Drosophila melanogaster: one gene and its partner. The protein of the gene in region 1 interacts with the protein of each later gene in a pairwise test. Each region holds a gene or a part of one and is shown on either strand. Other genes may lie near its edges. The genes, in order: CG12708 and trbl.

What was found.
Region 2: the proteins of CG12708 (region 1) and trbl interact in a two-hybrid assay, tested with the Drosophila melanogaster proteins (2 studies listed by BioGRID).

What each region holds. Positions count from the first base shown.
Region 1 is NC_004354.4:15,668,937-15,683,136, reverse strand, and holds CG12708 (uncharacterized protein), read right to left. Parts: upstream 7,662-14,200; 5' UTR 7,450-7,661; exon of another isoform or gene 7,334-7,449; intron 6,774-7,333; 5' UTR 6,731-6,773; coding exon 5,513-6,730; 3' UTR 5,400-5,512; downstream 1-5,399. Other genes in the region: CG15646 (uncharacterized protein), read left to right, coding at 13,843-14,200.
Region 2 is NT_037436.4:20,392,682-20,409,893, forward strand, and holds trbl (tribbles), read right to left. Parts: upstream 8,929-17,212; 5' UTR 8,575-8,928; coding exon 7,745-8,574; intron 4,795-7,744; coding exon 4,170-4,794; 3' UTR 3,607-4,169; downstream 1-3,606. Other genes in the region: CG33969 (uncharacterized protein), read right to left, coding at 1-544, 598-800; CG13248 (uncharacterized protein), read right to left, coding at 15,106-16,973. UniProt on the Drosophila melanogaster protein: Adapter protein that negatively regulates different signaling pathways to coordinate cell differentiation, proliferation, migration and growth.

The DNA of each region.
Region 1 (14,200 bases):
GGGTCCTTTCATTTCCATTTCCACTTCCACTTCCACTTCCATTTCCATTTTCATAACCATTACCATTACCATTTCGCTCTGTTGTTGTTTGCCATCCGTTGTTTTGATATGTAAGTTGATATATGATATTTGATTTCTTGGATAGACTTCTGGGTGTCGCCGGCGTCTCAACTTCAATTACGGCAAATGGCAAGCACGTAGCTAGTTAGGCGTAGTCATGGACATCTTATCCGTATTTTCATTTCATTTCTTTTTTTTTTTGCCAGGTTGAGGTTTCAGGAAAATGCTCTATGCGAAGAAACGGCAATTGGAAGGAGAATTCAGGCATTTAAAAATTAAGATATGCTCTATAAGAAATAGCACATTCAACCTTATAATATGATATATAATAAACTTGCTTCTATATATAATACTATATATAAAATTCAGTTAAGCATTAGATACAATATGGTCTCATTTCGATTTAAGAAATTACGATCACAGGGTTGGAATATGCTATCTTTTATGGTTCTATTGTTTTATATTTTTTTAGTAACACCTATTTTTTTGTTGTGAATTTTAGCACGGCCACAGCTGCCGTCGAGTCTGGAATTCTATGCAAAATAGTCCTGAGCGGCGACTTTTAGTCGCGCCTGTCAAGTCAGTCCATTTGGCCACATGGCAGGGTGCAGTGCATCGCGGATCGCTGTAGCGGAACGCACGCCACTGCCACTACCTACATACACTACCTGTACAGGACGCACCCCCTAAGCCCGACGCAAGTCGCACGCACACACACAGAGAAGTCTAAAAAAAAATACGAAAAACTAAAAAAAGGAAACAAACAGACGACCTTTGGTGAAGTGCGTTTGTAAATTTGTTTGCCAAATCAAAAGGAAACAGGATGCAAGGAAGTGCTAAGAAGGAAGGATCCCATCACTTGGCATTTGTCACCCTGCCGAAATCACCCTTTTGCCCCATTCGATTTTCCTTTTTGCATTTCCTTTCATTAGTGCAACGCGGAAAATTGCAAATGATTCAATTTTAATCCGATGCCCGCCGCTTTTCGTCTCATTTAAATTTTTGGGCACTTCAAGTGATTCGTATATCCCACGAATCGGGTCTTCAAAAGGGTTTTTGGATAGGGGGATTCAAGGATGATTTTGTCACATCCCGGTAGACTGCTGTCAAGTGAGCCGCACTTAATGAAGTAAGCAAAGCAAAAGGATACCGATCGGAAAAGATTGCAACAAAAGATCGCCGAATGGAGATCGTCTGAAGTTTCGCACAATTGTTACAATAATATTTTCAATGACATGACAGTCCCATAGATTTGCATTAATGATATTCGCCCCGTTGCGTCCCGTTGATGATGATGTGCAACATTTGTTCGTCCTGCCCTCTTTCTTCATTCCAGAAAACAGAAAAGGGTTGCTCCCCTTGGGTGCCTTTATTTTAATTTTGTTTTTTTTATAGAAGTGTTGGGTTCGTCGAAGAACTCGGAATATTGGCAATTATGGCAGTCGACCAGGATGGATGGATGATGCATGGCGATATTATGCAGAGCATATGCAAAGCAGGGGGAGTCTAATCCAGATCTAGGAATCTGGCAAGGAGTCCCTAAGATTGATTATGTCTACTAGGCCAGGCTGAATACTTATGGAATTGTCCGCAATCCTTTCGGTTTCGGATTGAGTTTAGATCGGCGGCCCAAGAAATTGATTGATTATTTTCGTGGCACTCGGGGATTATATTGAAATCATGCCGCCGCTTTGATGCATCTTCTTTTGACATTTTCGAATGTAAAAGATGCTAATTTTTGGCCATTCAATGTTCCTTCCCATGCCATTTTTTATTATTAATCATTATTAAAAATTGTATTGAAGCATTATGTTGAATATTGCATTTATGGTTAATACGTTTCTGTGTCAGTTCTTTTAGCTTTATTATATTAATAATATGTTAAAAATATTTTAAATAATAATAATAATCATTTCTAAAGGTTAGTGAAATGCTGATATATTTTTAATAATATTTCAAACTTTATTCTACAAAAAATTTACATCTATTTTACATTCATAGAGTTTCCCTCACATATTGCTGTCCCAGTTTGCACCGTTTCCATGGACTTTCCCATCGATTGGTCTGGATTTTCAGCTGTGACCGCAGGCGCAGGACCTTGGACCCGATCCTTGGGTCCTGGCCTCCACTCGTGACCTTTACACCTGCCATTGGCCGACTGAGTTGGCTTGATGATGTGCGGTTTGGCAGCCCAAATAACATGTTATGTGCGGCCTAATTGGACCGAAACAACAAAACAAAAAATACCGATCGAGGATGAGTCGAAAAGTCAGAAGAGCCACGGAATTCAAGGACTTGCTGCAGGCAGCGCAGGCAGCGAAGGACATTGCCCTGGCCAACAGGTGAAGTTTGGTGTTTCGAGGGATATGGCTTGTTAGAACCTCGCTAGAAGTCCTTCAAAGACAAAAAAAAAAGAAACACAAAGGCGCTAACTTCGTGATGTTGCACCACTCCACCTACATACCGCATTCGTATACACTTTGAGAAAATGTCTGCCACTTCACTTTTCATTGCGTATATTTAAATTTTTCATTGTTGGTATGTTAATAATCTTAAATATTTGCCTTGCAGATTACATTTCTCGGACTTCTGGGTGAGCTAGTAATATTATGAAAATATATTTATATATGATAGATATTTGTATTCCGTAGGAGCAGCACTCCAATTTTGGCAACATTTCTCCCAATTCTAGTGGAAGGGACAGCCCGCAGGACTCGACAGCACAACTGTTAGGCGCTGAATGTCCTTCGGTCTTGTGGGTCTCCTGTTTTTGCACATGTTGACACATTCGCGAAGTGACGTTGACTTCCTGACTGGCAGGACATGCAGGACATGCAGGAACCAGGAAAAAGGGAAAACCGCCCTCAGGTTCGCTTGGTCCTGCGGGGTTTCCCGGTCCTTGGCTGGCTGTTTTTGCAACTGTTCAGCCGCCGATCGATCAGATCGCCAGGCGATAATGGAGCAGGCACGTGTCCCGCCTGCCCAGCGGATCTCAAGCGGGCAATGGGATTCGGCAGAATGGCAACAAAGTGCGGGTCGAAAGGTGCGTTGGGCATTGTCAATCGGTTCGGTAGTCTGTCCATGTCCGATCCCTCACTATGTATGTACATACATACCATACATATGTAGGTTTTGTACAATATAAAACCCCCGATCAGAAAACAGCGATACGACTTTTGTCACTATGTCGAAAATTAAGCGGGTGTTTCCATTTTCGCCACTCGAGAAACGTTTAAATCGCAATTAGAGTTTTGGAGTGTGCCCGCTTTTAATGGGTGATTTTTCACAATTTTCTCAATTTTCACAAAATGGGTTTCGAATTGAGTGCAGATCGATGGATTTCATTGTTCTCGACCAAAGTGTGTCCACAACATGGAATTGGGAACCACATTTCAATTCAATTTGACACGTTTCATATATCAATTAGGTGTCTTGGTATCATAAAGATTCAGTCAAAGAAAAATATAGTTGAAATTAAAAATTTGTTAGCAAACTTTAAGAAACTACAATTATAATAAAACTATATTCTTAAAGTAGGTTATAATCGCATTTAAACGCACACATTTTGTTAGCTATAAAACCTTAAGGAAACGCACTTAATTATTTGTACATTTTCAGATTTTCCCTATCGTTATGGATCTCTGCTTCGACTAACGCTCCACTCATTACTCGTCAACCATCCGAAACCGGAAGATATGTATAAAATGATATGATATGTGGTGGCAAGAATCCCAGCTAGGTACTTACTAGGGGTAAGTATCCGTTTCACTTTCAATCAAAACGAAATTAAAGAAATGCATGTTTAATGAGACGTTGCCGTCCGGAGCGGGAAAACTGGGCGCTGACGAATGAAAACATGGAACAATTCGGAAGCGGTCATTAGCCGGACGGACAAGAACCAGATAACAACAACAACAACCATAATAATAATAATAATAATAATAATAATAATAATGGGCAGGAGACCAGAGCAGCGCATTGTGGAAAACTAAAGAAAAGCGAGAGTCATAAAAAATAAAGTAACTACAACGGCGTGAACCTTCTTCTTCTTCTAACGATTCCTTTTGGGAAATTTTGGGAAAAGTTCAGAGCGCGGACGAGGGTTTGACAAGGGACCTGCCCTGATTTCGGCGGGTTATCCATATGTACATTTGCATGTATATCACGAATATTCCCTGGAGCGGGCTGCTTGACCGCTCGACCTTAGTTCGGCGATCGAAACTTGAGTTCTGGAGTTCGCCGGGTATCACATAATAAAGTATTTTACTTTGTTTTCCCTGTCACATGGCACAATGTACTCTGCACTGATGGTCAACCCATCATCTGCATAAGAAAGTTTCACGCTCTACTGAGCATTTGCCATGGGAAGTGGATGTGAATGTGGATTGGTGGTTCCTTGGCAGACGTGTTAACGCTTTTGGCTTAACCCACTCCTTTCGTCTCAAGGGTTGGACAAAATGTTATGACAGCTCATTTAACGCCGCGTCGCAGAAGTGGATTGCTGACCCATCGATCGCATGGCCTTGGATGGTTGGTGCCTGGCCGGGCTCCTTGGCATCCATCTGACCAGTTGGCTAATGGGCTAATGAGGCTCGCACGGCGGGATGCGATCCTTGGGGAGCGGGAGCTGTGGGAATGGCCTAGGTTCCATCTCAGCTGGAAGCCTAGTTATACAAACCGTTCGCTAACGAGTTATATTTCGTTTTTGGGCTACAAATTTTGTATCTTAATTATGTAAGGATTATCTACGAAACTGGGTTTGCTTCATAACTCATCACTATGATTTTATGATACCTTCAGAGAATAGTTTCCGCTGAAAGCAGTGGTAAATCGCAGTTTCCCGGGTGAAAGTTAGGCAACTTCCTTTTCCAAAGGTCGCTTTGAGCTAATAACACTCGAATGGAGTTCCGAGCAAGTGATACCTGTTCCATTTCCAGGTACTAGACCTTATCGCGTTAGATCGCACATAACTTGGCTGGCTGCCTGCCCATCGAATTCGTGGGCATTTGAAGCGTAAATAATATTTTTTTTCTTGCGACAATTGTCGCACAACCCCTTCCTTTTAGGGCCCTCATTACCGCCAAGTTCTATGTTCCATGTTGCCGAGGAATCCCCTATAGCTCGCTATCGGAGCATTAAAACGCTCATTAACCAGCTCGCTGTGAGAAAGAAGACCACTTGGGCAGACGGATGAGAAGACCCAGACCCTCTGCTCTGGAGGAATTGCTTTCCACGCACCGCTGAGCTTCAAGAGGTGTTTAGCATAAACTGCTGGTGGTTCCTTGTGGTTTCAACCGAATTATGACAGTGTGCCCCTCAGTGAATTTGGTTCTTTTCGTACATTCTGCATTCCAAATGATTTATTCTGGCCAAAAAATTAAAAAAAAAAAAAACGTTCTTAGGGCTATGAAAAAAATGTCTTATGCCTATGGTATAGGAATATCCTTGAGGATTAGCTTTCTTCCACCAGGGAGAAGCTGAGGCGTCTCTTCGTGGCGTCTCTGGCCTGCACTTGCAACCACATGGCATCCAGCTGACAGGCATCCTCCAGCTCCTCGCCACCCAACTCCAGTCCGCGACTCAGCTGGCAGTGCTCCTCCTCCAGCTCGCAGTCGCTGGTGGAATTGTGCCCACTGTCCGGACTGATGTGGCGCATCTTCTGGGCGGGAGCTGCTATGGATCCGGACCTGGCCGCTGCAAGCAGCTTCTGCGCCGACTGCCTGACGCTGGAGGAGATCTTTGTGGTGATCTTTCGCTTGCGCCGCACCACCCGCTGCCTGCGCAGCTGCAGGGAATGCCGCTTGGCATCCTGCGATTCGGATACGGTGGGCACGGGGGAGCGCACCTCCCGCTCCTCGAAGCCCTCCGCTGGCAGGGAATCCCTCCGCGAGGGCGACTTCCAGTACTCGCACAGATCGCTGGCCGGATCGAAGGCGGGGCGGTAGGTGGGCGATGGCGTCTGGGTGGGGCCGTGCCCGTGTCCGTGGCTGCTCCGGAGCACCTGCTGCCTGAGCCTGTGCCGCTGGCGGAGATGCTGCCTGGGCTGGCGGTGCTGATGCTGGTGCTGTTGCTGTCTGGCGTTGGGCAGCACCTTGCGGTTGCTCTCGAGGATGGCATCGATCATGCGCTCCAGGGTCACATCGCCCATCTGGCTGGAACTGAGCGTATTCTGTTCGCCGGTCGGAGGTGCTGGATGCGGATGCGGATGTGGTAGTGGCTTCTGCTCCAGGTAACGCGGCTTCTCGAAGTAGCTGTCCGGGATGCCCATGCCGCGCAGGGCGATCAGGGAGCCAGGAATGATGGCGGCATTGGGCGAGTACTCCGCCTCGAAGGTGGGCAGTGTGCAGGCGAACTTCAGGGGAACAGCAGTTACACCTCCAGTTGCCCCATTAGCGCCACTTGCTCCTCCCGATGGCGGCGTGGCCAGGATGTTGCTGAGGTCCTTGAGCAGTGGTGTGCGCGCATGGAGGCTCAAGGAGCTGGCCGGCAGTGGCGTGGAGGTCAGCTGGTTCTCCTTGCCTGGCGCCACTCCGATCGACTTCCTCTTGAGTTTGCCACGCAGGGCGTGGAACTCGCTGTAGCTGGAGCCGACTGCCTCGCTGCTGGTGGCCATCACCTCATCCCTGGCCAAGTACGAGGGTCGTGGCTGGTTGACGGCCCACTTGAGCATCTTCTTTGTCTGAAGTTTTAGTTTTTCGGTTTTGTAGTGGGTGCTGCAAGGAAAGAGCAAAGGAATCTGGTTAGGAAGGGGGCGGGTATTTCTGGTTCTGGCATTCCAGAACTTGACTTTCTTAAGGAGCAAATAAATAAAGAGGGCAGCGGCAAAGTTGTCGGGCGAGTTTTCGGCAATTTTGGCGCGCTTTTTCCGCGATAAATGTGCATGTAGACAAACATACATATATACATGCATATGTACATATGTATATGGATGTGTATCGATTTGGCGAAATCAGCGAAGCGGCAAAAATGAAATCAAAAACGAAATCAACCACTCCTCTCACGGACAATTAAATGGACGACGGGCAGCCTTTGGTCTGGACCTTAATAATTTAATTGACTCTGAACTTGATATGCTCAATTATTCTTATGAAATCTTAATGAACTTTTAGGTTGCATTCAAATTTGGCTCTTGAGTGGATACCAAAAAACCAAAAATCACAAGTTATCCGAAAAATTGAATTTTTGTGCATTTATAATTGCATTGATCCAGTTATGTTGGGAATTATTTGAAAAGATATTCATAACCATTAATGAATGAATTCATGAATCTTACAGGCACTTAAGTAATTTATTTTAGGTATATCCATTTATTTTTATGAGCCTTTAGATCTCATTGTACATGACTGCATTTTTAGTTTCAGTCATCTTTAGATGTTCACTTGAATTTACCTTTTTCAGTAGTTTATTTTTTTCGGCACTGATATTTATTTCCAACAGCAAAAAAATAAAATAAATGGTTCGCGGATTTATTTTAAGAATTGATTATTTGGTAGTTTGTATATGTAGTGCTTTTTTTTTGCCAAGTGTTGCGTTTCAACCGTCGCGTTTTTCTGGCAAAGATCGACTGCGTGCGTTCCCTTCGCCGGTTGTTGGTTGACTGACTGGCTAGCCGCCTTAACCGGGAGAAAGCAGAAGGCGACGAACGGACATGTTGCTCATGCGCAGAGGGAAGAGAGCGAGAGCGGAGAGATCAGGCAGTTGAACGGCAGGCACGTTCAACCGGCGGCATTGAAAGCGGGTGGTGGGAGACCACTCGTTGTTATAGTAATTAAAGGTATTTCGCATCTGATATCAGTCCACTTGACTTTAATAACTTATGCAAGATACTTTGCAACATTGATAATAATATAAATTATTTAAATAAGTTGTAATATTCGTATTTCTCACTTTTCCCATGATAACAACTATAACTAAAAGCATACCCTTTCAATACCTTTTATCGAATCTGGTATATATATATATATATATATACAATTACCTCTTCTCGTAGACTCGTACTTCCCAAAACTATCTAATATATTTCTATTTATTAGATAATGCGATACAAATTGAAAAGCAGAAGGCTGCGCTTTGATCTACATTAACGTTATCTTGATGTTCAGTTTTTATAACCGTTTACCGATCGATTTACGATCTGGCAACAGCTGTGCGAATTTTCCACGATCGTGAGATTTTTTATTTGGCCACCGAGAAGGATCATGATCAGTTGGCCAAGGATTCCTACGTGCAACAAGAAAGGGACGGCGCTTGTGAAGCGTGTGAGTGGGACGGAGCATAGTTGGACAGCTGTTCTCATCGCCGCTTGCGCCACAAAACATAATTTTCAATTACCTTTCTCGCAGCGTGTGGCTCCTTTCACCTTGGACTCCTCAAGATACCCTGTGTTTTTTTTGGGATCCTGAGAGTATGCTAGACCTGTGATTGTGTGGGTTACAGGAAGTTAGAACAAAACATTGGGTCTTAAAGGATTTTTAGTTTTTCATTTGATATTGAAAAGACTTTCTGTTGTTGTTTAAACAAGTTCATCGGAATAATGATTACAATTATTTAGTTTAATTGATGAAACTGTTTTGCATCATTTGCCAACTTTTTCTAACATAAATATATAAAAGGTTTAAATAATAGGTATCTTATAGTCGTTAGACCCTAGCAAGGCAATTCTTTCCGATTTTTCCTTCCTTCTCTCACGATTTTCGCCAAGAAAAGGACAACACAAACAGGAACTTTGGGCATTGTACAAATTTGGCCCATTGTTTATGGGACATCGCTGTCCTGTGGAAATTGTTGTGGAAAATTGTGCAATTGTTTTGCAATTTATTGGTTAAAGGGCTCCCGGTCCGTCCTGCTCCTACCTTCCCTCACTTTCCCTCCTGCTTTCTCTGCTGATCTCAAATTTATGATATTTTCGCAGCCGCCGATTGTCCGTTTGAGAAAAATAGAATTAAATCTCAACCGTACATCTGCCCAATTCTTCAGTTTTGGAATCTTTACTATTTGCTTTCGCCATATTATTGCTTGCTAAATTTATTTGACAGTTTTTGTGCAAAAACTAAACACAACTTTTTGTTCGCTGAGGAAGTGCCAGGACCTGCTTTAGCATTTCATATGACACTGCAGTTCCGGACCACCAAGTGCTATAGGATACAATTTATTGCAACTGGTGGTGGCACAATTAAATATGCTCAAGTGTTGTGAGTTCATCGAGTTCAAACAATGAGATCGTAAATATATCAGTCCCAAAGGGAATTTCCAAAAATACAAGACATCTTCATAGGTTAAATACCATCATAAGATGACAGAACGTTTTCTTTTTTAATACAGTATTTAATATCCACCTATTTTAAGGAAAAATCATTGCTGCATATATATATATTAGACATATTGAACCAATTTGAGTTCTTTACGACTTTTTCCCACAAACGTTTATTCAAATAAATCTCAAACCTTCGTTTCGCTAAATTGACATTCGGAAGGGGGGCACTACCTTCCCAGACCAAATTGAACTGGCCCTAATTTTCCATACCATTCATATGGATAAAACGTGAATATTCTGGACATGGATCAGCAGCTGAGTGACCAACGATAAATCTCGGGAAAAAAACGAAGCAAATTGAAATAAATCAATAATATTGGGCGGAGATCAAGGAAGATGGCCAGCAGCAGCTGCGTGCCCGAAGATCTGTGATCTTTCCAATAATAATCCGTGCCAGTCCTTCCCGAATCAATGGCAATTTAACGCATTGGTCACTGGCCAAAAAGGCCCAAGGATAATGCCGAAGGGATCGATGAGCGACAGCCAGAGCAGGCTACGAAGAAAAATAAGGAGAGGGTGACAAGGAAGATAAATTAGGGCAGGAGGAGCCCCTTTCCGCTTCTTCATTCCCATCATCCAGTTCCTCCTCCAGCCCAGCCGCTAATAAATTGCCCAACAATTGTGCAATTTTTCATAAGTCTAAGACTTCACGCTCCGATTTGCTACCGTTTTCCAATCGCTTTTCCCAATCAATGGCATTTTCTTACACACGTCGAAAAAATCTAGCTCTGGGTTTTTTCGAATTTGAACAACAATTTCATAAATAAAAGTTTTAGTACTATAGGTATTTTAAAAAGAAGACAAACTTTGGCTGCTAATGGAATCTTTCTGTATAATACATAATATTTGATTTGAAAATGGTTAAAAATCAGTCTTGAATGATATAGTAAATATTCAAACAATTCTTCAATGCCTGTTACTAGAATAATCCAGTTAACTGAAGTTTCCGCATAATCTTAATAAAATATGTGCCCATAAATCTAAACTAATGTATATCCTTTTCCTCTCTGTGCAGGATCCCATTCCGCTGGCCATCGTTGGAGAAACGTGCGGCGGCAAGGACATCTAGATAAAGTGAAAAGTGGGTAGGGAAAAGGTAATCTTGAATCACAAGCCGCACACTGATAGCGCCAGGACAGAGCGGCCGAGTTTTGAGGAAATCCGAGGAATCACACATAGGGACCCACAATGCACAATCCTTGGGCCGGACAGCTGTTCGCTCGGGGATTAGCACGGCTAGGCGAGCTCCTCTGCTCCCTCACCTTCTGCTTCTGCTTTCTCTCATTACTTTCGCCGGCGGGGCGCGCAAAATTATTAAAACCTGGCCCTGAATTATGGGCCATAATTTAGAATTTGTATTTGCTCAGAGCTTCCCTCTGGCTCCTTCGTCCTTCGTCCTTCTTCCTTCGATTTCCACTGCTTTCCCTTTTCTTCCGCTTTCCCACTCGATATGCCTGGCGGGCAATGGCAGGGGGTGGGGTTTGGTATTGGTGTGTCTGTGTGTGTTCACAGGACCCAGATCCTTTGATTGATTTGGGATCGCCGTGAAAAGCTGGCATCCATTGACAGGCAGGCACTTCAAGGACCAGAGGCTCTCGGATCGGCTTATTTGCCCAGGATCATGCGAAATGCCATGGAAAAGGATCTGCAGATCAATAGGTGATGCGAAACACAGGGAATAATTGGATCTGGCTAGGGAAGACTATATGGCGTATTGTTTAGACTGATTCTATTGTCAGTGCCTTGAATTTGGTATTTCGCAGCCTTAAATATTAAACATATTCGATTAATTCATAAATGATCAAAGTCGAAAGCATCAAGGATAAGTAATTTTGCATAAGGAAACTGCTTTTAAAGTTCTCATTAAAATATAGTATATATTTTCAGACTTACCGAATCCGCAGGATATAATTCTAAAAGTCACTCCTGACATCTTGCCAAACACTTCCCAAAATCAAATCTCAATCAATTTCGGAACATGTATATCAATCGCACAAATGATGATGGCCCAATGGAAGGTCCCTTGTGGGCCATTAATATTATATATGCCGATCGTTAGCCGGAGCATTTGTCAAGCATTATACGATGGAAATCCAAACTTGACAAATGCCAAGTGAAATGCCATGTGAGATGAATTGGAATGCAAAGCATTCGATTTCAATATCAACCCGATCGCTCCCGCTCCGGGGGGTGGGACGAGTTCAAATTGCCGGGCTAGTGGTGGTGCTACACTAGGTTTTCAAGTTCAGTCCAAGGGAATGTCCTTTCCGAGTCCCGAAATTCCTCAGCAGTCAACAGGGGAGAGAAATCGGGAGAGCGAACGAACGGCAATCTCACCTTCAATATTGAAAGGTGCTGTTGAAAAGGTGGTGGTTCCATTAGTACACTGTCAAAAAAGACTGTAGTTCAATACTTTTAAATGAACTAAAAATATGTAATAATCAACTATGATATATATTTAGGATATATTTCATTTGTATACAAAATTCCTAAATGTTATCTTTATGTGTGCATAAAACAAATTCGTAAATAGTTATCAAAATCTGTTTCAAATAGTTGGGTATCTTCTCATTCAAAAATCTGTAATACATTTAAAATATTTTGTATAGCTGGTCCCAAAGTACAACATATTTGTTTTCAGTGTGCCTCGTGAGACCGGGTTTCAAGCTCTGCGAGGTGAGCACGCAACGTTTGCGTGCGAGGGTAGAATTAGTCACTTTTCGTCTGTTGCAGCGACAGGACGTGTATTTCTCTGCGATCGCGAGCAGGAAATAAATTTCAAAATTTACAATTTTGATTTCCCAACACCCGTCTCGTTACGCCTATTTTCATTTTTTTTTTAAACGTGCAAAGAAAAAATACCACAAAATTTTATATTATTTTTCATTGTGAAACGAAGCAATTTCTGAACTTTGGATACCCCAAAAAAAAAAAAACGAAGAACGCGAAAAATTCCAAAAAAATATATACAAATAAAAAGGTAAAGATAAGTGAAGTGCATGAAATGGAAAACGAAAAGCCAGTGTGCATATTTTCGGGCTAAATGTGCATTAAAAATGCATTAAAGCAGAAGTGTCTGGGGCAGCGGGGTTTAATTAAAAACACCCCATTAAAATCGCCTAAAAACGTATAAATTGTGCGCGTGCGATTTTGGGTTATGTTTTGCTGGGTTTTAGCTCCTGCGTTTTGGTTTTGAGCTTGGGCAATGGGATATGGGCAATGGGCTATGGGTTAATGGGTTTTCGAACTCGGGCCACTTGGCCCAAGTGCTCGAGTGCTCTTCAGACCAAAACGAGAGCGGCGGCTGCAAAATGCGCAAAAATGCTAGCACGCACGTACATATCCCGGAATCGAGTAGATGAGCGAAATCGCTCACTCCTGCGGATCCCCCCTTATCGCCATCACTCCTCGAGTGGCCGGAGATCGACACCACTGGAGGATGGGGCAGAGGAATGGGAGTAGGACGAGGCAACAGAGTGTGCCGGCAGCACCACCATTTTGCCCAAGTTCACACGGCAAAAAATATATATGTTCTCCCAGCCACACTTTTTTTATCACTTGAATCTTCAGTCTCAAAATCATGCAGCTCAACAAATTTACTATTCAAAATGAATAATAATTATATTAGTAACTTTCTTGGCGAACTTAGTTCCCAAAATTTCTATTGATTTGCAAATTTAATGAAATGGTATATTGGACCGCTAATTTCTAATTTGACTATCAAGGGCTTTGCTTAAATATTTTATTTTTATAGTAAAGAATGTTGTAAACATTTTTCATTTCTATTGAAATTTGAATAGCTTATTGCTTTTATAATTTAATCGGGTACTAAATCTGGAACCAATTTTAATATCTTCTTTATTGTAACAAAGCCATTTAGATGCCAAATAATTCCCCAGATTCTGAAATTATTTGAACAATAGTTCAATCAGTTAAAAAATAATATAAATAAAATGTATAGATATTCCGATTTTTGCGCATAAATCCCCAAATTCCTGCCTGATTTTGGGTGATAATTTCTCCCTGTGCCGGCACACCACCCGAGCACACGATACGCGAGGCAGAACCTTGGGCTAAATCGCAGCTGGAGGGCAGTGCGTTGGTATGGCGAACAGGAGCGAACCGGAGGCCCAGAAAATCGCGAAGCTTTAGCGCGCTTTTCCTTTGTTCCCGGGCTCTTTGTGCCGGCTCAATTGTTCGCAAGGATATGCGGAACCAGAAACTCCTTGCGGAAATCGGGAAGCTGGCGTTCAGCTGTGCGAATCCTTGGCGAAATCCCAAGCAGGCCCCTGTGCAAACTCGTTTCGCTACAAGTTAGTCGGGTTTTTGCTCTGTTTTTGCTTTTTTTTTTTGCAATTCCATTCTGCTTGAGAAGCTTTGCAAATAGACAATCGCTAACTAGCCCTATCCTTTTTGCCACTTTTCCAGATATCTTGGCACCGCAGGAGCGACAGACAGCAGCTGCCAGGATGCTCAAGTGGGCTGTCAACCAGCCGCGAAACTCGTATCTGGCCAAGGAGCTGGCCATGGGATCGCAAACAGGATCGGAATCGGGATCGGGATCAGGATCTCTCGAGCAGAAGGCCGAAGTGGTGGGCTCCAGCTACAGCGAGTTCCACGCCCTGCGTGGCAAACTCAAGAGGAAGTCGATCGGAGTGGCGCCAGGCAAGGAGAACCAGCTGACCTCCACGCCGCTGCCGGCCAGCTCCTTGAGCCTCCATGCTCGCACACCACTGCTCAAGGACCTCAGCAACATCCTGGCCACGCCGCCATCGGGAGGAGCAAGTGGCGCTAGTGGGGCAACTGGAGGAGCAGCTGCTGTTCCCC
Region 2 (17,212 bases), on another chromosome or scaffold:
AGTGTATAGTCCACCATACAGCCACTGGCCATCCGAACTGAGTTCCAGAGACCTAAAGGCGTGCGGCAGATGCATCACCTGATCAAAATGCGTCATTCCAAACTCCTGCGCACGCTGCCACAGTCTGCAGCAGTGATCTGTGCTGGTTGCGTACAGATCCTTGACAAAGTCTACGCAGTACAAGTATTCGTTGGCCGGATGCATCCTCTGCTCCGTCATCACCATGCTATCGGTGTCGTAGTGGAAGCACGATCCACAAACCCTTCCCGCGAATATGGTTTCATTCTTTTTGACGAAATCGGAGATGTCGGTCTGTGCGGACGTACAGATCTCCTCGTCGAAGCGACGATGCAGTGCATCGCAGCTGGACCGCCGGTACTTGCGCAGATAGCAGGCATGTGTGATGTACAGAAAGTCGGCCTCCAGGCACAGTTTGGTGGGGAACATCTGGGCATGGTGGAAGTATGGTCGTTCGAAATAGGTGCCACTAACCCAGTTCCTTGACAGCTCGATGCGTTCATAGTTTTTCAGGCGTCTTCGGTTTCTAGGAGGTAGATAGATTATCTTAAGTTTATTATCCGAATCTCATTCACCAACCTCTGTTCGATCCTTGGATTATTCCGGTGGCCACAGAGCAGCAAATCGTAGGCCAGTGGGTAGAAGTAGTAGGCTTCAATAATATACTCCAGAGCCGGGTCCGCCCGGCACAGGCACAGTAGGTCCCCCTCCGAGCAATAGTCGAATATGAGGAGCAGGCATTCGATGGTCAGATCCTTCAAGCTCATGCGGGAGCTCATCATATCTTTCAACGCCAATTCGTGAGATTAGCTCATATTCCCACGATTTCCGAACAAAACGCAAACAAATGGTATATCGATTATTTCACTCTAGCGTTACCTTTGCAACACTACGAAATTTCCGTTAAGTTTGACTGCAGTCAATGATTAAATTCAAACGTGTGTTCTTTCATAGTGTTATTATATTAATGATTTGAACATCAACTGTATATTCTTTCGTGCTATTTTTTCAATATATAGATCTCAGACAATTTGATTATTTCGAATAATCGATATGTTTTTCATTTATATTTCCTCAGCTAATAAACAGTGCATTGTTCACTTATGTGTCATTGTTGAAAATTTGACGTAACCAGCACAGAAATTGTGAAATTTAAAGAACAATGAAACACTTGTTAATTTCATCGACCTTTGAAAACATTTTTTTTAAACATTTTTCATGTTGATGACCATATTTTTTAAAAATTTAAACAACAGGCAATTAGTGTATACAGATTTAAATTAACTATTACTACGGAAAAATGTGCTTAAAAGAGCAAGTTAATTATTACCACCCCTTTAGCCAATAAAGCTTTTAAAATGTTACTATCTAAGCTTTGGTCTTTCAATGGTTAACAATATCCACCAGCTGTGTCAAGGCAATATAAGAAAATACAATTCATGAAATATGGTTAATAAATTTTATAAATTTTGCTTGTGTAGAAGGTTAAGCATCAAGGCTAGACTTCGGGGAACCATTGCGATAAATGACATCGTTGGACATTGAGTTTTTATCATTCGATAAGAAATTTAGGGTTGATTTTAGAAAGATTCCCCCATTGATGTAAGCCGCCTGCAATGCCAAACACGAAATAGTCAGCAACTGCACATTTTGGGGACAAAAGTCTAAGATATGTATACGATTTACGCACATAAATATGCGGCGTGCGTACGACCACGTACTCATACAATTGCAGCAATCTAAAGTTATTTAGAACACTGTTTCCGCAATTAGGCACGAAACTGCCGAGATTTTTGCGCTAAATACCTTAACTGAGCATTTGATTGACTTGAAATAGCGCACAAGCTGTCTGATCTGCCTAGAAAGTATCTCGTATCTTTCTCGGCATTTATCTGCCGCCTTTTCTGTAAATACTGCAAAATGGTGCATAAAGTTTTATGACTTCTGGAGTGATTTAGGAAGAAGACCATGAAACGATTTTTCAGGCTAAGAATTTCGCATTATCTGTTGGGTACTTGAAGGAAAACATAGGACTATCTTCTAATGACAGACAGTATAAGCTGCGTGCGAGGGCAAACAAAGAAATTTACGGAAAATCTTGAGAATTGAACCAGAGCCATAACAAAGAATCAAGTAACGACTAATTTTTGGGTCAGGGAAAGTAGCGTAGCTGTCACTGTTCAGGTCTTCTTTATGGTTGTCAAGGTACTTAACTTAAGGTTTTAGAACCTTAAAAAGTGAATTTGTAACAGGGCTAGGCTAGTCCACCTTTGTACTTTCCATTTAACATACTTTTTTTTGGGTAGCGTGACCCCTATTAGAGCTTCGTTATTCCCCAGAAACAAAGTAATTGTGACTTTTGGGTATGTAAGGAATGCGAAAAGTTCTGGATCGTTCATTCCGTTCTATAAGTCCCCTTTAAAATCTTATCAAACTGCACATGACAATGGGCTTTACCCTTTCAAGATCTCGAAGCTTTGAGTACCCATCCTAAAATGTATTCTTAAATTAATAAGTGAAATAAAATCAGGATACTTATTGTAAAAGATATAAATTCCTAAGTTATAAGACCACATATGGACTTCAGACTTCAGACTTTAGTTCAATATGTATCAATAATCGACAATAAATTTATTTGAACAAAAATAAGACAGACAAGAACATATTGTAATACTCTACAAAAGCATCAGATTTGAATACATTTCCAGTGCGGTTACATACAGTTCCCGATGGGTATTTTCCAGTCGGGTCTAAACCGATCAGGCGATTCTAGTTAAAGTTCATGCGTGGCACTGAGCCCAAAAAAATTGATAGTCACAATCTGTAGGTGGCGTAGTCGTCAGCAGTTTTCGCGTTCTGCGCAGTTCTCGTTCTCTCCGGCAATTTCATAATCTGAACAAAGTGCTCGACCACAGGTAAAAATGCTCGAGCACGGCGCACACAGAGCCAAAAATCGGGGGTCTTACGTACACGAGTATATGTAGGTGGTATACATGCGAAAGTCCCCGTCACGTCGGCACATCAGATGACAGTGGTGGGACCTCCGCATTCAGCAGCTATTCACAATATTAGTTTACTGCTATTGTGGAGCAAAGTCGCAAATATTTCCGTAGCCAAAGTCACGTTCGCCCACCTGATAACTTCCAGTCACTGGGTTGCATTATCAGGTTGGGAATCTGCTGCTCGGTAATGGGAATCTCAGCAACAACAATAACTAATTTGTTGACTTTCGACACTCGAGAGAATTCTCGATTTTGTGACGTGAACTATTCATTAATCTCCTTCATGAAGAAAATAGATTGGACAGTTTTGTTTTCATATTTTTGACCAAACATTATCTGATCTTAATCAAATGTTGAATTTTACTAGTACACAATATGACGCATCTAGAACCAAAAAATCGTATTTTCCCCTGACTCATTGTTTTCATCTTTTGTAGCCTTCCGCTTCTTGAGAATCTAGAATCTTCATGTTAAGCTCATAGTCTGGTTGACTAATTACACATTTATAAATATTTACAATCTTGTGTCAATAAATAAAAACAGCGTTTTTTACCCCAGAGCCCTAAAGAAACAAATTCGAATTATTCTTGGTGAGATCAAATTTCAATGTATTATGTTCTTTTTTGCAATTTTCACTTACAAGATTTTAAGAGTACACAAAGCGTAATACAGAAGTATTAAATAATAAATAACAATTTGCATTCGTTGCATTTTTTAACATGGAAACTAATGTGTTTTAAAGCCCAAAAGCAAATCAGGGCGACTGTCCTTTGATAAGATCAACAGTTTGCAAAAAAATTAAAATGTTAAATGTATTGTACATAGGTAGGTTTTAGGAAGAATCGGTTGCAGAGAGGAGGCTGCGGAGCGGCGTGATTCTTGAACGAATCGAATCGGGGCTGCAGCGCGATTGGAAGGCAGTGAGTTCTTGTGTGTCTAAGCTTTAAGTCTTTGTTGGCAGTACCACCTGCAGGAAGACGACGTGGAACGCAGTCGGAGTCGGCGCGACCCGGAAGGCCAGGATGTCCACAGTGTCATATCATCCGATATGCCCAGTCCCGGCGGCTAATCAGTCGGCATTCAGCCGGATGCAGCCAACGCGCCAGCGTGTCCCAGAATGCAACCCGTGGGTGACTCCACGAGCTCCAATCAGCCCATGTCCACATCCGTATCGGGTTCGGGTTCCGTGGACAGCCCATTGGCATTCTGAGCCATTTGGAGCGTGGAGCGCGTGTAGTCCAATGGCTCCACGCCAATGTCCTCGTACTCGTGCTTGTCACCCAAGGGACAGAGTCCTTCCTCGTCATCATCCATCGCATCGGCGGCAGTGCCTTCGTCCTCCTCCGCATCGCTCCAGTCCTCGGCCACCTCCACGTCGACTGGCAGGTACATGTGGAAGGGGCGCTGCTCTCGCAGCCACGGGGTAAGGAAGATGTGGCTGGCGGTCATTCGTTCCGTGTAATCCTTCCGCAGCAGCGAAAGCAACAGCCATCGCACCGACTTAGACAGCGTCAGGGGTATCTGGACATTCCCGTGGCGTATGACGGTGATGAGGTTGCAGTTGGCCTTCTCGTAGAACGGGTACTGACCCACCAACATGGTGTACAGGATCACGCCCAGCGACCACATGTCCGCCGGTTTGCCCTTGTACGTTTGCTGGGGGCACAGCAGTTCTGGAGCGGTGTACAGTGGGCAACCGATCTTGTCGCTCAGAGTATCGTCCTCGCCGTCGAGGATCATTGAGCCTTCCAGTGATTCATACTGCAGTTTCGTTCTGTAATTAGCAAATGACAAAATCGAATAAATAATCCGCCAAAATAGGGTACAAAATATATGTTTATGCTTCTTAGAAATAAAACTAACAGTCTTTTTTTTACCCGTTTCTATTAATATGTTGAGAACTATTGTTGCCAAAGAAGAGTAGATATGACTGCAACTTGAGTTGGCACTGCCACTATTCTGATCGCAACTGTACCCGTTCATCAGACCCATCGTCGAGCTCTACATCATGTGCAATCCCTGGGACTTGCATAACCCCCGATTTTGTGGGGCCATTAGCTAGCGCAATATCGAAGAGACTTGAATCGATCGGCCACGGAGCTTCAGTTTCAGTTGTAGTTGTCTTTGGCGTTGGCGTATTGACAAGTCAAAAGGCAAATTGGCCGAGAGAGCACATTGTGAGCTGAGCTGAGTTGACTTGGATTGGTGACGAAAGCGCAGCTTGCGACCCCCGACACCCATGAGCGAGTGCCGCCGCCGCCGCCGCCTCCGCCCCTGCACTCCACTCCACTCCCCCTCCATTGGGCCACTCCACTCCATTGACATTGGCCCACATTCGAATGCAAAAAGCAAAAAAGTAACGAAAACGCCAGCGAGCACAGCGCATAGATCCAAAGAGAGTCCGCTGTGTGAGCTGCGTGAGTAGTAAGGTGAGGTGGAGTGACGTATCGCAACTTGTTGCTGCAACGGCGCTTCTGCTGGGACCCGAGCACCACTACCAACATTGGGTATTCCGCCGATAGCGAACGGAGCGATATACAAACACACGGTCGCCGCGGTCTGGTATCCAAACATCCAAAGAGCCAAACACAAAGCAGGCCAAAAAAACCTCGAGCTGACCCTGAACAAAAACAAGCTTTGAAAACGCGCCTCTCCTCGGCACAAATCACAGTGTACACTGAAAGAAACAAATTACCTTCAACTTGATAGCAACAGGTGGGCAATCAATAAGAGGGAAAAGAGATAGCGCATTTAAATAATATATTCAAAGAACACGGTTCTTAATTAAGAGCATGTTTCTATACATTTGTTTTCGGGTTTCATTTGATTTTTGTGTCCTCTATCGTCTAGTTACCCCATTCGATACAGAAACATTATAAACTTATATTTAAGATCAAGGCAAGCATATATAATTATACTTTTAAGATCAAGGTTTTATGTGAACCAATATTTATATTTTTGAGTGCACGGAAGGCAGGTGGAGATGTGATGAGGAGAATAGTTACAGCTGCTGACCTCGATGCGCGACATAACCGAGCTTTGAAGAGCGTCTTGTGGATCTCTTCTTTCCCTCTCTCTCTCTCTCTCGCTCTATACGTTTGGCACACATTAACCCGCGACAGAGGTTAAAATAAAATCGGAATCGAAACGAAATACGGAAAACCGGCGCCGCATAAATGCTCAAACACCTTGGAAGTATTTACGTACGGCAAAAGAGTAGACAAAATAAAAGTATGAACCAGAGATTTTTACATGCATAAGCATACGCATTTGTATATGGGAGGCACTGGCATATATGCATGTACATAAATGCGTTCAAATACAGAAGATCAGAGTCAGGGACATTCACCGCACTGTGACCTTAAAAATTCGGCTCGTTATTTGGTTGTGCGTGTGTGTGGCCGCCCCGTTGGACATATGTAGATATGGATATGGCCACGCCCATAGCCCATATAGTATGTATGTACACCCAGCGAGCACTTATCTATATAGCGATGTATTATTCGAATGGAAATGGGAATGGAAGTGAGCGCCAGTAATCGCAGCGCATTTGAGTCGTATTGAACACTTGTTGTTTATTTCTCGCCAAGGTGAGAGAAGTATAGTATAGATAGAGATCTATGGGTTGGTTTCTTCCTTCCGCCGTTTTGCACTTGGCACAGAACGACGAAATGACGAAAAAATCAGCAGATATTGCGCTAATTGCAGAGTCATACGAAATCGACCAAATGTTCAAGTCGTTCCATGCTGATGTCAGTACAATTTCGAAGATAATAAGAACGGGAGACAGCGCGTTTTCGATACAGTTGTGTTAATTAACATATGCGAAAATACATTTTCGATGAAGGTGGGGTCAATATTTCATCATCCACTGTAAACTCACACACGGGAAATCGACAAATCAAGCGAACGCCGAGTACGTGGCCCACAGATCCCCACCCCAAAACCATATTGCAAATGCTATGTTGAACAATTCTTGAAATGTGGCAATTTCTAGCTTCCGAAATGTGTAATGAAAAAACGAGTGAGCCAACATTTTGGCCATCAGTGTGGCACATTGGGCCCTTGTGTACGAGTATGTACACAGAGATACAGTCGGGGTCTGCAAAATAAGGCATATGCTTGCTCACTGAATGGCAATTCAATGATATTACATAAATAATAATTCTTTAGCTACAAAGCTAATACACCATGTTAATTAATAGTTTAATAATAGGTGTATTTCAAAAACTTATCTTTGAAATTATTTAACATTTTTGATCTTATTCCCATTCATTTTTGCAATGCTTCGCATAGTAGGAATATATTTTTACTTATAAAATTAGTTTGAAACTACCATTATACCCTGTGCTGTACATACGTACGCCTTGCGTTCATTCGGTTTGTCAGTATAATTGTTGTTGTTGGCCTATTGGTGATTCGATTGCAACACTTGTTAAATGTTCAATGTTACCCACAACGACGGCGCCAGCAACAAAAACAAAAGCAACAACAGCAGCAGCAGCAGCAACTACAACAACATGGGCCAATAACAAGAGCAACAATTGTGGCACCACCAACACACGACCACAAACAAGATCTCTCGCTCATAACGAGTTTCCATCGAATTGCAAAATAAACCGACTAGCCAGCCATATGCAATTGAGTTGGTATAAGTCAGGCATATGTGGCGTATATTGGTGTATATGGGTTTTTCGAAGGTGTCACCTGGACACGCAACTCACCTGGCCTCGTCGATGAAGTAGAACCGCTTGAGCTTGAGGTCCCTGAGGATAATCCCGTTGCGGTGGCACACCTGAACAGTCTGACAGATCTGGTGGAATATGGCCCTCGCCTCCGTCTCGCACAGTCGCTTCGCGTGGCGGATGTAGGTGTGCAGGTTCTCGTACACCCCGGTCACCCCACCCGTGGAGTCCCTCTCCTGGGGCACGGGCGCAATGAGGATGTAGGTGCGATCCTTGGTAAGCGGTATGATATCGTGCACGGGTCGGATCAGTGGATGGCCATAGATGGTGCTCCGGCGTAGCTCCTCGTCGTGCTGCTGCAGCTGAAAGTAGGCTCGTTGCACCTTATGCAACGGTTCGTTTACAATACGGCAGAGGAACTGCTCCCCGGTGAAGATGTCCACGCAGCGCAGATTGGAGGCGGTTAGATCGACCAAGTGGCGATACGAGGCGGGAGTCTTGGCAGCCACGGCGGCCGATATGTGACTAGGCTGTGCGCTGATCAGATAACGCTGTTGGATGAGCTTGACGGGCTGCTGGTCTGTGGGTTCCGCTGCGATGCCCAGGGCCAGAAGGTCACAGGCTCCGCCGGGCGTCATTAGCTTCTCCCTGATGGTCTGCAGCATCTTGGCATTGGGGAACTCCTTTTTGGGCGTAAATAATCCCAGTACGGTGTCCTCCTGGCTGCTACTCATGCCGCTGCTGCTGGATGATGAGGATGAGGAGGTGGCGGCTGCGACTCCTGGCGAGACTGGTGACGAATAGTTGACTATTTTGCTTGTGGACGCTGACGAAGCCGTTCTGCTGTTTTGACCGCTACTGTTATCCATGCTTGCTTGTGTTTACCACTTCACTTAACTTTATCACAGTTCTTGCTCTCGCTACGTTTTCTTCGTCTTATTCTCTGCTAATGCTTCTTCTTACTAATTTTGTTACTCCGCTTTAGCCTGGCTGTACTTGGCTGTTAATTGTTTTGACATTTAGCGACGCGCCGTTTAGTCTCCGATTAAATTCGATTTAAACTCTCGTTTAAACTCAGGGCTACTACTACTTCGGTAGTTTGGCCATTTGCAATGCGGGTACTGACGAAATGCGGCGATTTTAAAACAAATCGGACGCTGCTCACTGAACTCGCGAAACGAAACGAACGCGACCGTCTTCTCCGCAGTTTGAATTTCAAATGTGACCATCCACGCGGTCGGAAGAAGCACGAAGCGAAGAGAACGGCGAAATACAACGGCTCTCTTTCGCACCCTCTTGCTCGCTCTCACTGCACCGATCCTTCTCTGCCTCGCTCACACCCGTTGCAGGAATTTAGCTCAATGCGGTCGGAATGGAAAGAGAAGTGGGAGACCAGAGAGCGTCGTTATTTTTTGAAATCCAAATGGTTGGGAGAGAGAGAAAGAACAAGAGCATCGTTATTTTTGAAAAAATTGCGCTGAACGCTGAAATTCCGATTCCAACTGAATTCGAAATACGTAGCTGTATGAACACTATACCCACAGCAACCCTTAAACTTTTCTTCTACGATTTTACGTAGTAATCTGCGCACCAATAAATCGTGGCGATAAGTTAATTAGAGGGGGTTAGTAAACTGATAAAATCCACAGTTTTAAGATCAAATTAATGAAAGTACAGTCAGCTTGAACTTCGATTTTGTTTTATTGAGTACGGGTACGGATATCGAAGGCAGAAACACCCGTATAACCATCTCTATAACTCGAAAATATCTTTTGTGGTTTCTTGGCTTGGATACTTAAGGTTTTCTCCTGCTCTGATAAGGTAATATTTTACAAGTTTGGTTGAAATTATTTGTTTTCCCATAGTTACGAAATTTTTAAACCAAATTCAATGATGATGTGCAGTTTTTGAGTAGTTGCTTTGCAAACTACTATTATTATAAAAAAACATAAAACATAAAACATTTTAATATCCTAATATACATACAAATTTAAAATTAAGAAATTTGTCTTCTTAATACTCCAGATTAAGATCTCTTATATCCCTAAGTATATGACCACAGATGGACATTTCAGATGTACAAACATAGTTCTAGTAAATCCTAGAATTTAAATAAATGCTCCCAAACTCGAATCTTCAAATAACGCTTCAATCTCTTGGATCCAAATCGATCATTGAATTTTTTCCTGTGCGAGATCATTACTCATTTGTGTGTGTGTATGTGGATTTACCTTGCTGTTTACCTCGCGGTGCAGACGATTTCATGATTTTTGCAGCTGTCCGAAACGAGGATCACTGGGCTACGCAGGAATTACGACAGCAACAGAAGGCAGTTATCCGAGATCCTCAAGGAGCAGGTAAGAACCACCGAGCGGCATTATGTCGCAGGTAGATTCCTACATACATATGTCAGCTGCACTATTCCACCCCTAAGCACTATATGGCAGATATAGTGCATCGGTGCAGGGCTGTACATGCGATGCAGTTGCAGTTGCAGCTGGCGCAAGGTGATTTCCCACTAAAGACATCCGTCTGAGGATACACAGGAGCACATTCGCGGTCACAATAATAGGAACTATCGCAATCGAATCTTTAGTAATTGGAAATGAGGGTCTTTAAATATAATTTTTAAGACCGAATTGTTGGACTAAAAGACCTGAAAAATGTATTTTTAAAATCGTTGATAGAATTGGTACAATTGTAGGTTAGATATAACTCATTTAGTTTTGAATTTTTTCATTCTGGGATACTGGGATTTTGAATACTAATATTTTCACCGCAACTGTTTATGCAGGCTTGTATTTCGTCCATTGGTTTTCACCGATCTCTTCGATTGAATTCTTCATATTGTAACGCTCTTTTTGAAACGCAACGTCCGTCTTTGCTTCTTCTTCCCACGAAGTAGCCGATAAATACGAATGCGAAAATCGCGAACAGAACAAATAACACCAACAAACCTCTCTTTTCGCCCGTCCCTTTTCCAAAGTCTTGCATCTGTTTCTCGAAAGGAAGATTGAAACGAGAATTATACTGGTACCGTGACACCAATGCAACCGAAAAGGGGGGAAATTATAGGGGTGGCGACATCAAATTGAATTTGAAAAATATTTTATTTGCATACGACATACTTATTTGCAAGCAATTAATGTTTCACTCTGGTCACTGCACTCACTTATACGATTAAATAGGCCTGATCATTTTGATATGAAAAGTGTATGTACGGGAAATATACATATTCTTTAGCAATAATCACGTAAATATACGTGAACACAAACAACCTTTATTCCAGTAAATCGCTTTTGAGTTTCACCATGGTCCGCAATGATGATTAAGTTTTAACTGCAGTTTGCAGTGGGAAGATTATACAAACATATTTCATTGAAATTTGAAATGACGCACTATGATGTTGAACAGTATTGATTATAATCGCCTTGTGAAATAATTTCACATGTAACCGTAACCCATTCCTTTGAACCACTGTGCCCCAAGCCCCACCAAGAGTACGTTACATTTTAAATTTAAATTCGAACATTCGGATGAAGCCGACCTTTCCGACACTCGCGGATTCTTCTGCTCTAAAATTTCAGCGTGCTTTTGCCATTGTGCGAGCTACTTTGTTGTTGCCAAGCTGGCATGAAATCCAGATTTCTCTTCCAAGCAAAAAAAAAAAAAAAAAACAACTCAGTGCGTCATCGGCTGCGTCATCAATTCGGGATGACGACGCCTCGCCATTCCGATTCGCAATTCCCCTTCCTGATTTAGATTATCCATTCCAAGCCCCGTCACATCGACATTTCCCAAAAGCAGGCACACAAACTCGTATATCTTGATTCGCCAGCGGGCGGCAGCTTTAGTTTGTGCATATACCCTGACTTTGGAGTTTCAGATTCGCACGAAATTGTGGAAGGTGAAGTTCTCGAAGTGAGTGAGCGAGTGCTTTGGATGGGAAGTGCATGATGCACGGCCGTGATGTGGCTTTTATAAAAAAAGTAGATTAGGTTGTGGCACGTGGTCTGGGGATTGCACTTGCAGTGGAACTCTGATGAATGTTAATGTCATGCGGTCATTTCAGACCCATAAGACCTATGAAAGTAAGTTGGATTCAATCAAGGTTTCAGGTCAGGGTAAACTAGGCATATATAAATATATATTAAGACATGCCATTGAATCCCTTATATATGCAGATATAGAATGCAGATATTATACTTAAGATAATATTTGTCTATCTGCAAACTACAAGTGTGTGTAAACTTCTCGCGCGGCAAATCGTATCTAGCATCGCAAAAGATACACTCTCACTAGTTCGAGCGTGCAGTATCTGTATGTGGTTATGGGTATGAAACACAACAGGTTGTCGGCGGTGTTTGGAGAAAGTGCTTAGTGCCAACAATACCATCAGGTGCAATGACCACATAGGTATACCTAGTCGGTGGATGGTTGGTTCGAAAAATCGTATAAATTGTCATGGAAACGCGACGCTCTGTGGAAGGCTAAACATGCGAGGGAACTTGATCTGATTAAAGCCCCATAATCAACTAAGGGAGTTTTCCGACGAAAAGATTGGCCATATAACTACTAAGAAATACCTAAAGCTTGTCCAACATTAGACAAGCTGCATACCGTTAATATAAACTATTATAACTTTCTTTTCGTACAAAGAGAAACATAACAATGCAATGGTTAAGTCCGTTGAACTTTAACTATTTAATGTCTTTGGAGCTTAGATAAGGAGATACATAACTTTATATGGTAAAGATATCTTTAATATTACTTGATTTAAACGTCTTGAACTTTGATAAGAAGATACTTACCATTACATATTGTAAATTTCTATTTAACATAACTTCTTGAACTACCCAAATCTAAATGGTTACATAAACTCCAAAATTACTCATGGAAGGATTGGAGTACTCAATCTTTCAGATGCGTCTACTGCTTCCACATTTCTTCCGCTTGAAGGCCGCAAACAAGGGTTCAAGTACAGCAAACACTTTCTTAGTCACACGTACATACATATCTCTTCTCTGCGTAGGTGGTGAAAATTGCTGCCCTTTTTTCCAGTCTCAATTCCTCACAGATGCGTTTCCTAGATGCCAACATGCTGAGGATTACCCATTGTCCGTAATATTTGTATGGAAAGGATACCCCGTCGAAGTGCTATTGATGAACTCTCGCACACATGCTTGGAAATATTATTACTAGTCACGGCGTGGGAACCGAGGCAGAAATGTCCCAAGATCCGTGCAGAATATGGCAATTTCTGGACGTAAAGGTGGGTAATTTGCGACACATTTATAATACGGGTACGGCACCGGCATTTCCCAGGTGAAAATGCGACATCGCAAATAGTGGTCACCCTGCTGTACGGATGTATCCCAGATACATACATACAGAAAAAAATTGGTTTGTCAGCGAAATCAGTTTTTCAAGAAAAACTGAGCCCTTTATTCCCAACTCGGACACAAACGACAGTGAGGTACAGCCTGCCGAGGACCATTAACCCTGTCAACCCCTAAAATGACAATTGTTTGAGCTATCAAAAGGATATTTTTCAATAAAATATTATCCAAAATAGTTTCCCCTTTCTTCCGAGATGGATTGTTATGCATATGTGCTTTTCCAGGCCATCCGTGAACGTATTCTTAAAGGGGTACAACAATTTCACAGTTTTTCCACACAAAAGCAATGCCGACCGACCCACATTTATGAATGGAAAGTATCCTTAATCTTATCATCATGGGGTGGGTTGGACTTCGACCGAAATTTTGTCAAGTTTCCTCATTTTTCACGATAGATTCAAACGAACTTTGGCCCTTTTCTTCAATTTTGTAATTGCGCCGTTTATTTGCCCATTGTATTTTCGCGCGACCCTGTTTCACCTGGGAAGATCCCGATCCTTTGTTCTTTTGTGACACCAAACTAGCTGGAAAACCTCTTTTTTTTATATTGTCATCATTGTTACACTTTTCTTTGTAAATAAAAACTTGACAATTTTCTGGAAAATATATGCGCAATAAACAATGGTTTGATCAAGCAATCAAAATCTGATAAGATTTGTTTATTTATTTATTATTTACTTAGCGCTTTAATTAAATTTGCCCAAAAGTTGGCTATAATTGCGTGACGTTCGGATTTGAAGCTATCTTTTCAGATTTGCGTTTTTGTCGTTGCAAGACCGCGGCAGTTAATCCAAGAAACAAGTTCTCTTATGAACATTTCAATCTTTCGGTCGACTGACTCAGCATCCCTCAACGAAGTTCTACGCTTTTACGCACTATATAAAACAGCCTGCAGTCGAAAAGGACCTCTCAATAGTCCTGTGCACCACCTGCTTCCTGTGGAATGATGCTGGGATTCCGAGATATTCTTGCAGCTGAACATATGCGCCTACGCTTCTTGGTTTTATAATTTTAAGGGCTGTTCGAATTTTCAGGATGTCTTCGCGGGTCCTAAAAAACGATATAAACTGTACACATGACGAGAAACATAAGGGTAATCTCTTTGCGTGGAAATGTTTCAAAGAACTAAGCAGAAATGGAAATCAGGCAATAAAATCATATCATTTATCCCTAAGCCTTTTTTCGAATTCCTGAAAATGAAAAGTCCTTCTATAGTAAACTATTTGGCAGGATATCTAAGTCATAAAAATAATAAATACGGGAAAAAAATCAAGAAACTAATCTGCAAACTAATCCACTGAAACACCTGATTATTTTGTATACACGAATCAATATATATTTGCAAATATATAGTATTGTATATGCTTATTTACACAGTTATAAATATATATAGTTAGTTATTTAAAGACATGTATGTGTGTACTATTATAGTTTAACAAATGCCATGTGTGCATAACGTTAAATAAATTTATTTGTACGTTTGCAGAGTAAATACGTTTTTTGTTGTGTGTAATACCATTTCTGCGATATTGTTTGCAATAATACACTGTAAATAGCTATACCTTGATATTATGTATATATAATATAAGGTACTTCGCCACAATATGTTATATACCAAAATTCCATTATATGTCTCGTTCAACGTTGGGTTTTTGGAATGCATATAATTTGAAATGGATTATTTATGTATATAGAGATGCTTTAAGTACAGGACTTTAAACAGTATCAGTTTCAAAATAATAATAAATCAAAACCAGAAACCTTTGATTTAACAAAAGTTCTAACATAATTAAACATATTTTTGGTATTACATAGAAAATAAGTATTATAATCTTTTTCTCAAAAGAACAGTAACCAATTGAAGTAGTTTTATCTATGTACATTAAACATTTCAAAAATAATAAGCCGAAACCATAACAACTGTATATCTTTCACTGATTTGATTTTAGTTCACGATCTGTATTCGGGTTGAAGCTTTGGGTTCCAATTGGAAGAATTGACTTAGGAATATCCGGACGTTTCGTTTTCGCTTTCCTCTACAATTGATTTCTTGTCCTCCGGCTTGCTGCGTCCTGTGAATCTCTCGAAGATGGAGTGCTTACTGGACTTCTTGCCACCGGAAGTTGCCTTGAAGGAACCCCACGGCACCTTTCCAGCCTCCGAAGTGGTCATAAGGATGGAGTACGAGGAGCAGACCTCGCCCTCTTTGCTGTTACGAATCCCGTAGAGGAAGTACACCACCATACCGATACAAACCCAGACAAAGAACCTTACCCAAGTCACGGCATCCAGATGGACCATCAACAAGATGTTACAAAAGATTCCAAGTGCAGGAACGAAGGGAACCAGGGGAACTTTGAAGATCAGGCCACGGGTGTTCTGGTTATGGACAGCTATCACGGCCACGCAAGTGCCTGCTGCGAAGATGATGAATCCATAGATGATCAGTGCCCACCAGGTGCCCGTATAGAGTTGCGTCCACGACACCTTTAGCTCCACACAGATGGCAAAGCTCAGGAAGATGAACAGCATCACGGCGACGGACACCACAGATCCCGGTTCGAAACGTCCTAGTAGGGGTTCCAAGCACCTGAACTGGGCCTTTAGTCTTCCAGCTAAGACTTCCTCTATCATCTCACTGGTCGGTGAGGAGGTATCCATGCTGGACTGGGACGCCACATCCTCGTCATCATCGTCGTCGTCGTCGGGACTTCCAGCCACTGCGGGTACCCTAATCGTGGTATGAATTCGCTCCATGGGACGATATCGCAGGATGATCACACTGGCCGAGACGATGGTGTAGGCCAACAAAGTGCCAATGGACATAAACTCCACCAGCTTGGCCAGATCGAAGACCAAAGCGAGGCAGGCACTCATTACCCCGGATACCACTAGATTCAGCAGTGGCACCTGGGTGGTCGGGTTAATCTTCCCAAAACAGCTGAAGAGCAATCCATCCGAGGCCATGGCGTACATGCAGCGTGGCAGGGCGAACAGGGATCCCAACAGGGTGGTGGTCATTCCACACAGAGCTCCGATGGAGATAAGGTACTTGGCCCAGGAGAGGTTCAATTGCCCAAATGCCTCCGGCAATGAGGCAGCCGGATTGATCTCACTGATGGGAATCATAAGGGTCAGAGCGGCGCTGACAAGGATGTAGCCCACTGTCACCACGAACAATGAGATCACAGTGGCCACGGGTATGGATACCGATGGGTTTTTGGCCTCCTCACCGGAAGTGGCTATGGAATCGAAGCCCACGAAGGCGTAGAAACAGGTGGCTGCACCGGCGATGACTCCTCCAACGCCGTAGGGCAGAAATCCACCCTCAGCCTCGGACCAATTCTTACCATCCGCATACCAGAATCCCACGCTGATGACCAGCACCATCACGGCTATATTGACCAGGGTGAGGAGACTGTTAAACACCGCCGTGGCCTTTACTCCTCCGGCCAGAGCAGCCGCGTAAACAATGCAGACCAGGAAGGCTAAGACGTCGGGGTATTGGGCCAATCCGGGCTCGTGGATGCCACCCGTTAGCTCCAGCGTTGTGTTCCCAATCCAACCGCCCAGCATTGAATCCACGTATCCACTCCAGGCCCTGGCCACCGAAGCTGCACCCAGCATATGCTCCAGCAGGATATTCCAGCCGATGACGAAGGCCCAGAATTCACCCATCGAGATGTAGGTGTACACATAGGCCGATCCCGCCTTGGGCACTCGAGTCCCGAACTCCGCGTAACATAGGGCGGCCAGCATCGAAATAAATCCGGCCAGGATGAAGGATAATATGATCCCGGGTCCGGCCATTTCCTTGGCCACAGTTCCAGTCAGCACGTAGATGCCAGCGCCAACCATATGGCCAATGCCTGGGGGTAAACACATATGTTCATATTTAATATATGAATGTAGAGATAGTCTTGTTTTTTCGTTGATGGCACATACTCTAATTTCTGGTTCTTGTAAAGCAATAATTCTGATGTCAAGGAATATATGTAGATAAGGTAAATTATGTTCTATTCCTATCTGAAGGGTTTTAAAATCTCTACAAATCTCTAGGGGGTTTTCAAAACCATGTATGTCTTCATATCAGGGATTTTCTCTACTT